2 linked regions of the Arabidopsis thaliana genome follow. The gene in region 1 interacts genetically with each later gene. Each region holds a gene or a part of one and is shown on either strand. Other genes may lie near its edges.

Region 1 (7,652 bases):
GTTCTGGTTTTCAATAGTTTTTACGGTTTGATTATGGTTGGTGTGTATCATTCATCCGTAAATGGTAAAACCTCGATCGATTTACATAACTCATGTAGACAGCGGATTAAAATAGCTGTCCTTAGACTTAAAAAATTCTGTTATTGGTTATATAAAAATATTCCACCATTTTCTTTAAATTATGCTGAAAAATGATAAAAAGAGATTGTACATAAATAAAACTTCCATATTTTTGGTCGGTATAAAACTTCCATAAGAGTTTTGTAGGTTTCTGTCCAAAAGAAAAGCTATTTATCAACTTCCATTACTAACTAGACTACCCAAAAGAAAAGTTTATAGGTTCCTCCAGCCTAGAAGTCAAAGAACAGCATCATCATGACTAGTTTTCTTGTGATAGATACTATTTCAATTTAATAGATAAATACTAGTAATGATTATTGATCATTTAATGTCAAAGATTCATTCAAATCTAATCTTTTGGATGATTATTATTTATGCATACAACCTAAACTCCGCATACATTTTTCATGTTACATATGAGCTACCAAGTCCATTAAACGTTTTTTGCCAAAAACTATGATGATTAATTTAGTTTATTCGACATGCTTTTGAGGCCAATCTTTGTGTTTATATTTGTACATTAACACATGATAAAAACTTATAAGATTACTAATAATAATTCATCTTATATCTATCTATATATATATATATATATATATATATATATATATATATATATCAAATTTCGTAAAAGGAAGATGAAGAAAAACGAAACAAGTCCAAAACATAAATAAAAATAAATATCTTGCCATACATAATGTCATAATTGATTAAAGAGATTATCATCAGAATTTTTCCATATTACATATAGAGTTATGGACTCTCTAATTCAACAAACCTTAGCCAAAAACAACATCCCCTAACTTTTAATATCTAACATAACCAACCTTTTCCTTCATCAAACAAACGACCAACTAACGAGGGTAAAAGCCAAGCAGTGGTTTGATTCGTTGTCATCAACAACTTTCCACACCGTCGCTTGCTCATACGAAACCGGTCTGCCCATGCTCGACACACATATTCCTGCCGGAAGATTCGCATATCCCTGAAGAAGATTCAATCCAAACTTAGTATTTTCCAGGGAAAGACTTAAAAGACTAGCTAGAAAATGTTTAACCTGCTGCATGATCTTGGCGAACTCGGAGCAAAGAGCTCTACGACCAGAGTCATCAAGTGTTTTGTCGAGCATTATATCCTGAAGTGCCACAAGTGTAGTTTCAAGCATGTCTAAACCAGCTTGGTTTGCAAATGTGAATACCGGTGAGGCCTGAGAACCAAAAAATAATCAGACAATTCCCAAACCGAACCATAAACTAGATTGAGCACCTCTTAAAAAAACAGAATTCTTACATTAGTTTTCAGGGAGCAGCACAATATGGCATCACTATGGTCCCAGAGTTGCTTAAGCAATGTGTCTCCTCCACAGGACTGAGAATCAGCTCCAAACAGATCTGCACCTGTATGAATACTAAAACATCGGAGAAAAACATTTTATTGAGTTATTAAATGAGATAAGCACATTCTATATTGTTACAAGTCTTTAGATTAAGGTTCTAAGAAGAGTACCTGTAACTACGGGTGATCCAACGGACAAGAGTGAGAGCTTCAGGGGAAGTGGGAAGTTGCATTGAGCCAGGACGAGGCGTAATGGCTAGAGCCACTCTCTGAATCGAACCAACAACGTTCCTCACATACTGTCTCGCCATTGTAGCAACATTGTCTCTGGAATGGTTATCAAACGTGAACTGGAAGGCTATTGTTAAGACCAATCTAGAGTTTGTTTCCGAATCGGTTTTGGTGGAACCATCTAGGGACGATGCTAGATCCCGTGTTCGACTTGCAGATTGATGATCATTCTGTAACGTTACATACAGGAATAAAAGAAAAAGGACTGTGTCAATTTCAAGATATCAAATTTCTTATCATAAACAGTTTTCTTTTTACCGGATTTGTTTTTTGGTCGAGTGGTATGACACGGAAACCAGAAGGAAGCAAAGGTGCATCATCAGCAAATGATTCATCGATTGGGGCAAAGACAAGCTGAGCACAACCTCCAACCACATTTTCATCAACGCCGCTACAAAGCTGGACAAAAGCAAAAAAGAAACCAAGAATTCAATTTCAATAACTCATCTTTAAGAATCCCTGAGTGTCTTTAGTATAAAGCAAACCTGCAGTAAATACATATCCCGGGATAAGCCCATGTCTTCAGGTGAGTAAGCATGACCTCCAAGTCTAACCACTTCGAGAAACTGAGAAACAAGTAAGCAAAATAGGATTATAGGCATGGCAAAAGAATAGACAACAAGGAAAATGTTCTTGAGATTCTTTGTACCTCTTCATGTTCGAGTGTCTGTGCGAGAGGAAGAATGACTTGGTTACTCGGGAACCCACCGGTTCTGACGCATGGAACAGCATATGGAGTTGCTCTGAGAGATGCAGCAGAATAGGCATCGACACCATAGTCTGCCCATTCAGCTCGGTGTTCTCTCAGGAACCGAATCAATACAAGGGGTGGAACATTCTTCAAGAGCAGATAAAAAAGAGAATGATGTCAGAAATTGAAGAAACCGGTTCTTTTGTCTATTCACAAGTGTCAAAACATGATATAGGCACCTGCAACAGCATAGAAGCTTTGGCACAGAGGACACCACTTCCAAAACTTGGAAGAAATGAGCTACCGTATTGGGAGCCAGCAAATTTAGCAGAGGAAGAGTTAATCATGATCGTAATATCCTCTCCTCCATCACTACTCATTGGAGACCATCCATCATCGACAAAACCATTTACAGCATCATTGAAACCCCTGAATTTCAAGAAAAGCAATTAGAACAATGCTTTAGAAAATAAAACTAAGCTTATCAAGGAAATGTATTACCGGCAGAGTCTCTGGCTGAAAGTCCTTAAAACTGCAGGCTGGCGTCCACCACTATACTGGACTTCTCCACTAGTCTCTTGAGCAATTTGGCGCACATGTCTCAGAGCCTGAAATGTGGAAGTAAAACTCATAAAGAGAGCCTAATCAGGTCACGGGTGGATAAGGTTTATATGGAACTTACAGCGACAGTCATTTTTTGAGCAAGGATTTTGGAAGACTCATAAAGAGGCCTGAGGACTTCAGGAACACTTGAGACCTACCAAACCAAAAAAACGTATCAATCAACATAAATAGAAGGCTTTTACGAAACCTAATGTGCTATTACAAATCCAATATGCTTACATCCAAGTCCACATGATCAACGATGTGAATAATGGAACCACCACCATCACAAGGACGGATAAGAAACCCGCTTGACAGCATTTTGGCTCTCACGAAGCTTGAAGAAAGTGGACCATTGGGGCCACCAGTTGCAGAAGTGAGTGATCTCTCACAGACCTGAAGGCAAAAAAGCAAATATAAGGCAAATCTAATAAATAGAATCATAGATGAACAAAACCAGGTCCTAATACCCACCACATAGCTTCCATCTTCTAGACTTGTACTATATCTCAGCGTCCAAAAGTCACGAGCTGCTGCTAATGTTGTAGGAGCATAAATCTGATAACCAACCATGAATAATGATCATTACATTTTAAAGGAACAAAAACAACACTCATGGATTTATGAAACAGACCTGAGTGTTGACAAGCTCGATAGTACCACCATTTCCAGTGGGTATAACATTCAGAGTCTCGACACATCGACAGTCACGGAACCAAGATGGACGATCTTTGAGGATTTCAGCGACCTACACAGTATTTGAAGTTTAGATTGCCTTCGTAGAATTTCCGCTTCTTACAACACAAGATTAAAATAAAAAGAAAACACCATTACCTTCATGGGTTCTAAACTCACGAGGCCACAGGCACGTGCTGCTATTCCACTGCAGTTGCGTGAAACAGCTACGATACCAATAGAATCCGGACCAGGCTACATACATAACCATGAAAATACATATTAAAACATTTTCTAAAAACCACTTCATTTCCACATATGAAAACGTTAAAATACTTCAACTTATCTACCTTCATCCCAATCATCTGGACCCAGTCGACAGCAGTTCCTGTAGCCTTGCAAAGGAACTCCGCCAAGGTCTCCTCCGCAATCGAGAGAAGACTACCAAAAAAACACTCCATTTAGTCTCTTCTCATAATGTCACAATGAGAAATTCACAAACAAAAAAAGAGCCTTCCTTACTTAGCTGGGTTGTTAACATCACGCTGAGGATGCTGATGTGTTGGGTTTTGCTGCTGACGTTGCTGACCACTCACGACCACAGACTCACAGCTGTTGTCTGTGGTCGTCCCAGAAGCCTAAGACACAACACAGAGATTTCACCAGTCACTCTCTAACAACAGAGAACTCTTAAAGAACAAATACATATACAAGCATCAAAGATAACAACTCAACAATGCATTTAGCAAAAGGGATTCAAGGACTTACAGTGTGGATTCGATGTTTCATGAATCCATTCTCATAAACCAAGTTGGAGACTTGCTTCTGCAAACGATCATTCTCTTCCATCAAAAGCTTGTTCATAGCACTCAGCTTCCTGTTCACTGTCTGAAGACGAGCTGACTCTTTCCTCTGCTTCTCTCGACATCTAAAAAGTCAACAAAACAACCAAAAGAAACCAGAAAAGTTAAAGACAAACCTATAGCAGTATGATAAATGTGTTGAAATAATAGAAAAATGAACAGAAGAAACACACACTTTTTTGCTTTAGAATGATACCAGAATGACATAAAGAACAAAAGATAATGTAATTTCCAACATATTCTCTGCAGAAGGAAAAAAAGAGAGAGGCGTTTTAAAGCTCATCAAAGACAGTTTGATTAGCTGTCACTTTTCCTTGTGATTTTAACTTTCAACTGTGTCAACAAAAGCCTAATAAGCAAAAAGAGAAAAACAAATTTATAGACATAGATCTGAAAGTTTCAAAAGCTTAACAATCACCAATTAGACCAAAAACAAGAAGATTACCAAAAACATTGTCAGACAAGAACATTTTTGTCTCCAAATACAAACAAAAGAAATTCAATTTTATAATTACAGAAACAATCAAAGAACACAAAAAACATTCCATTAAAGACAATTAATAAAGAAATAATAACCTGCGATTCTGGAACCAAACTTTGATCTGTCGAGGCTCGATGTTACAGAGAATGGGACATTCACGAATAAGCTGTTGTCTTCTCAGAGAGCTAGGTTTAGGACACTCAGCATAAACTCTCTCAAGAGCTTCAACTTGTTCCGGCGTGTATCTAACGTACTTGCCGGAATCAAATCCTTTATCAGGAGAGTCTCTATCGTCCATGGAGTGATGAGCCATCATATCTTCCAAACAGGTCAGTAGAAATCAGAGAGAGAGAGAGGGTTTACAAAAAGAAGAATAAAGATCGATACTTTGAGAGAAGTAAAAGAGACTCAGATGAAGAAATATTAGATGGGTAGGCTCTCTGAGAAGAGAGAGCCTCCTGTGAGAGTGTTCATGAGATGGTAATGGTTGGAGAAAAGAGTTTTTTGGGTTTTTTTCATTTGCTCTCTCTCTCAAAGGAGATTGAAAGATGGAAAGAGGTAAAAGGAGCAAAAGCGAGGCAGCTAAGTAGAGAGAAGAGAGAGAAGAGAGAGAAGAGAGAGGAAAATACTGAAAAAGTAAAAGTAAAGATCTTTCTGAGAGAGAAAGGACAAGGAACAACCCAACAAGATGCACTAAACTGGTAAATATTGTTTTCAAAAAAAATTAAAGGTGAAATTTTTGGGAGAGTAGGTTGAATTCAATGTTTTTGGTTAAAAGCTTTTTACTGTTAAGGCAAAGTAAAAATATTTAAACTTTTTCTTATACAAAGCTAAGCTTGAATTTTAATTCAAAGCTTAAATTCTAAAAGTTAAAATGATTAACTAGGATAAAAGTTTATGTCTTTGATAACTCATTATCAAAGCGGTAGAGTTTGTACAACTTTGACAGTTATCATTTATAAAATCTTTATCAAAAACGTTATAAAAAGTTTTATTCTCAATTTTATTATACAACTTTCTCGTACAACTCTTTTTTATAGTTTGCAACTATTCCGAAAAATTTTACAATTCATCTAAATTACCAGTTGGACCCATATATATTCTTTGGTTGCCACCATATAAATATTATTAGTTAAATAGATAATTATAATATTGATTGAATTAGATTAACAATTCATTTTAAAAGTTTCGTAATATTTGATGCATAGTTATAAGTAAATAATTACTTGTTTTATTATTTTTTCTTACAACTCTTTTAAATAGGTTTAATATGAGATGGAATCTTGATTACACTTCTCTAATTCATATCATTACCACCTAATTTTCTTTGTGTAAACATGTTTCTGTATTCAATATTCTTGGATTAGATTAAAAGGACAAGTAGATGTTGACAATTAAAAAGGATTGAAAGTGATTAGTTTTGAAAAACTTAAATGCATTCAGATTTCAGACTAAGGCTAAACACAAACAGATGAGAAAACCAACACGCAAAGTTGTTGTCTCTGCAAATTTTAAGACATATCAATTATTATCAGAATCCCTAGTCCTAATGGCAATCGATAAGAATAAATATGTTTATCTATTGGTAACAAAAATAAATCATGCTACAACTATTTATATTCGTAAAACGTAAGTGTTGTTGTCAGAAGAAACGGAATTTTGACAAAATGGGGTAATTTGCTAACTTAGGGAAAGAAAGCACTTCTCTTTAAGCTCTGTGACAGTGGCCTACCCAAACATAGCATCAAATTTTCCCTACCCTCTTTGCTCTCTAGTCCTAAGACGTTGTATGTATGTATGTATGTGCATGTACATATTTTCATGATGATGGTGTTGTTGTATGCCTATCTTTTGTATCCATGTGGAAGAGACGATGCATGACAAGTATGTACAATGTCACTATGCGCGTGAGATGCGTGAAATCTGTTGTTTTTTTTGGTTAACCTTAATTGGTTTTATTTCCTTTAACTTGTTTTGAAAGTTTTGAATATAAATTAGGGAATTTAATGAAAAAAACCCTTAACTTTGGCCAGATCCATTTTAAACCCTAAACTATGTTTTTAGTAAAACAAACCCTGAACTAAAACCTGTTAATAAACTTAACTCCACAGTAATTAATTATTAATGGGATATTAATTTCTAAAAAAAAAAACAACGAGACATTTGTATTTAGCGCAAAAACCACATGATGTTCTTTAAAACTATTTTGAATTTATTACAAAAAAACGTTCTAAATGATTTTGAATTGCTTAATTAGTTTGGATTTTAGAAGCTGAAAGAAAGACACAACAACTTAAAATAATCCAAAGAGTCATACTTAAATAAATCCAACCAACATAACTATCGAAGCTGTTGCAACACAACAATATTTGTCACAAAAAAAACAATCGTTTCAGAGGGACAAGATATTCTAAAGTAAAGACTTGTCAAGCATTAACTTTGAAGAGAAGATTGTATTGGCTGAGTGATAGGGTTCTCTTCATCCATTGTTTTCTGTTTTTTCCTTGGTCGTCTTTGAGGTTTCTTGGGTGGTTTTGGCACTGCTTTACGCTTGCATGAACGTTTGTTGTGTCCGACTTGTTGATAGTTGCTA
Region 2 (3,665 bases), 6.4 Mb from region 1:
TCTAAGTTGTCTACTTATATGAGACAGTAGATTAAATTACAAACATATGATTAGTGTGTGCGTACGTGTTCATTTTCTTTGGTACCATTTTTGTGGTTTTCAATTTTCGTATACTACTAATTTCATCGACGGATATACATGTTACATCAACGCAATAACCACGAAACATACGGAATTGCGAACATGAGTAGTGGGTACAGTTGATACAAAAAAAAACGCAATTTTTTTTTTGTATTTCATCATATATTCGCAATGAATTAAACTCATTCTGCATATATTTTAGTTTTAGTTTTTTTGAAAAAGCATATATTTTAGTTTTTTTTTTTTGGTCAAAGCATATATTTTAGTTTATTTCTGCAAATTCAGTACTTATTAATCAACATGTGAAAAAATCAGTACTTATTACTAATTTTTTTGACATCAATCAATATTAAAGTTCTTGACCTTTGTTATTTAGTAGTTCAGCTTTTCCTTTGGTGATAGAATGAAGAGAGCACGAAAAGTTGGAGAAGACAGAGACAAACACTGCCTTTTGTACGAACGTTAGTCCACTTTTCAGACTACAAACAAATAAATGTAAGGATATCACTTTTTCATCTGCAGATTCACTTTTAATAGGTCGATACCAACATTGCTGAACAAAGGAATTTTCCTATTTTACTCATCTCTCATCATATATATTATTTCTTGCTATTACGACTATGTTAGAGGCTTAAAGCTGTTTAAGAGTTACGTAACTTCTTAACAAGTTCCACCATGTGATTATAAATTATGATACAACTTAAATCATTAAGCGCGTAATGTGTCAGAATACGTGGATATAAACTTTAATTAGCTACGAAAATATATTATAAACTTGATTATAATTATGAAATCCTATTAGCAAATTCAACTTAAAACATAATTTAGTTAATATCCAACATTGGGAAAGGTAGCAACTTTAAACTAAGTCGATAGTACCAAAACTCAAAACATAATCATGATGAATATCTAGCTATCCCCACGATCTTCGGCAAGTACAGCCTAACTGAGTTCCGTACATCAACATTTCTTGATACCCCCACTCGTTTGATCCCAACGATAAACCACCGTCTGCGACGGCTCTTACGCCGTCGTCATTAGCTTGAAAATTCCCGTAGCGATCTAGTTTCGACGACAAAGTCTCCTTAGTCTCTTGAACCATATTTTCAGAGTATATAGTGAGATTAGAGAAATAACCAGAGTTGTCATGATGGCTAGTCACCGGCGGTGGTGTTGGTGGAGAAGGAGGAACGCCGCGATTTTTCTTCAAGAACTCTTGAACGACCTCTTGTAATAGACCAGTATCAGAAGATTCTTCCGGGAAAAACGACTCGTTGTTTTCGTTTTCGGAATAAGAAACGCATGCCGTTTTCGATGCTGAGTAAGAAGATGATGAGCCGTTGAAAGAGTTATTATACGGAGTCGTTTTACGAGAGGAACACGAGGCGTCGCGTAAGAAGATAGACTGTGTATTATAGATCCTCTGCGCTGCCGGTGCACCGTAAAAGTTTTGGGTAGAGGAATCTAACGGTAGAGAAGGAAGAGGACAACGAGCAGACGGCGAAGATTTCTTGTTGGAAAAAGAAAACCTTGGTTCAGGCATAATGACAGCTGTCGGATAAGTAAAATTAGTACGAGCCTTTGCTCCACGAAAGGCACGAGCCGCAGAGTCGTAAGCACAAGCGGCTTGTTCCGCCGTGTCAAATGTTCCGAGCCAACGTCTCTCCTTCGACATTGGGTCACGTATCTCCGCCGCGTATCGTCCCCACGGCCTCCGGCGTACGCCGCGGTACCTCGTCGTGCTGCTGCCAGCTCCGGCGATGGTTACAGTGGTATCTTTTGAAGACAGTTTGCGGTTGCGGCTAACAGGTGAGGCTGTAGGTTCAGTGAAGAATTTTGTGAGAGGATTAGGGTCTGGTGAGTGGGTAGATTCGGTGAAGTTTCTCAAGGCTTTTTCCATTTTTGGTTTCTAGGGTTTTGGTTTGAGGACAAAAGGAAGGTGTAATGTGAAAGATTTTGGTGGTTGATAGTTTGAAAGAGATGGAGCTTCTTCTATCTATTTATAGGTACATAAATGGTATAAAAATTTAATTAAATTTTGTGAAGTTTGAAATATATGGCGAAGAGTATAAATGCTTTTCTTGCACATACAGTATAGTAGTATACAAATAACTATATAAGCATGGAAACTTTTGAGTTGCACTTAAAACTTGATTTGATTAATAACTGATAAATTGATAATACTTCTTTTGTATATTAATCTTAGCAAACTAAAATTTAATTTTACATTTAAATTTACTTGCTATCTTGTTCATCATATATATATGGGGTAGATGTTTTAAATCTTTGGTCTAGACATTAGTGTTTTTCTTTGATGATGACGATGCAAGTGGGAGTGGCGAAATAAAACCACGTTCTTATTGCTTTTTTATTTATTAAAGTTAAAAATCGACCAACAGTCATTTCACACATGCTAAACATATTTACATTATTTCTGTATGATTAGTAAAGGATAATTCCATTATTTCTAAAACTGCCAATTAGAATAATCCTTGAAAAAGTATCTTTGTTTGTTAATGTTAATGTATGATTACAACATACACCAATCGGTGATATCGAGAAGAAAATAAATGATTTTGTAAGAAAAGTATGGAACAAAAGATATGCATAGCAACACTTCAGTGTAAATCTGACACTTGTGGATATTATTGTACGAAGAGGACATTTCAGGTTTGTCTAAACGTATGTATGAGACATATATGTATTTCATGTATCAGAAGCTTGTTTTTTATTTATTGCTTCTGTCTTTTTTTTTGTTAAAATTATTTATTTCTTCTGTCATGAAATAATCATGCCATATCGCCCGATGCTTACGTTTTATTATAAAGTCTATTAGAACAATATAAGAATTTGACAAGTTTACTGGAGTATCTTTCAAAAGCTTTGGTAAGTATTACTAATTGTTTAAATAAGTTTTGAAATAGCGTTGTAATGGCTGCGTTTGCGTCATATGTGTTTAATTACTACCATCATTTGAGATTTTTTAGGTATTATTATAAAACCATCTACCATGACCATGACGTCATGAACTCATTATATTGAGATTTATGTTGGTTGGTCGGCAAATGACTGAATGAGACAATAAGCAGCAATTAAAACCCCTGCGTTAATTCTGTAATTTTACAAGCAAACTAAAATGTTTTAATTTAAAATGTGCATAGTCATAATATGAACTTAAACTGATAACATTTTGTCTAATGTTGAAATGTTACAACTCTATGTGAAACCATAGGCAAGATCTTTTATTACCAAACTAACAGTATCCATGGTTGATATAAGATTTTGTCTGGGGGGGTAGGTTGAGTTAATATATACTATAATAATTGTTAAGTATAGTTATTACTATATGGTAAAAACAACAAAAGAGTTCATTGGTGAACTTATCTATTTTCTATTAAAAATTTGAGAAATTCTTCATAATTTTGGGAACTAAAGACTTTTGGTTTCCAGCTCAGTCCTATGCAAATGTCTTTGTGATTTCCGATGTCACAAAGTAAATTATTACGATAGCTCGTGTTCTGAGATAATTTTAGTGTATCTATCATAATATCAACTTGAAATACTTCGGTTTCGATTAGGGTTGG

Evidence for each region.
Region 2: of PHV (region 1) and ESR1, changing one enhances a phenotype caused by changing the other (phenotypic enhancement), as found in Arabidopsis thaliana (one study listed by BioGRID).

Annotation. Positions count from the first base shown.
Region 1 is NC_003070.9:10,795,370-10,803,021, forward strand, and holds PHV (Homeobox-leucine zipper family protein / lipid-binding START domain-containing protein), read right to left. Parts: upstream 5,725-7,652; 5' UTR 5,376-5,724; coding exon 5,155-5,375; intron 4,644-5,154; coding exon 4,484-4,643; intron 4,354-4,483; coding exon 4,238-4,353; intron 4,157-4,237; coding exon 4,066-4,156; intron 3,971-4,065; coding exon 3,875-3,970; intron 3,789-3,874; coding exon 3,675-3,788; intron 3,599-3,674; coding exon 3,515-3,598; intron 3,437-3,514; coding exon 3,281-3,436; intron 3,195-3,280; coding exon 3,120-3,194; intron 3,046-3,119; coding exon 2,939-3,045; intron 2,867-2,938; coding exon 2,677-2,866; intron 2,585-2,676; coding exon 2,396-2,584; intron 2,313-2,395; coding exon 2,232-2,312; intron 2,146-2,231; coding exon 2,005-2,145; intron 1,917-2,004; coding exon 1,627-1,916; intron 1,529-1,626; coding exon 1,411-1,528; intron 1,328-1,410; coding exon 1,178-1,327; intron 1,106-1,177; coding exon 959-1,105; 3' UTR 755-958; downstream 1-754. UniProt on the Arabidopsis thaliana protein: Probable transcription factor involved in the determination of adaxial-abaxial polarity in ovule primordium. Specifies adaxial leaf fates. Binds to the DNA sequence 5'-GTAAT[GC]ATTAC-3'.
Region 2 is NC_003070.9:4,428,107-4,431,771, reverse strand, and holds ESR1 (Integrase-type DNA-binding superfamily protein), read right to left. Parts: upstream 2,055-3,665; 5' UTR 1,982-2,054; coding exon 995-1,981; 3' UTR 807-994; downstream 1-806. UniProt on the Arabidopsis thaliana protein: Regulates gene expression patterns in meristems and thus modulates organ development. Required for correct embryo patterning and cotyledon organogenesis. Modulates auxin signaling pathway in early embryos.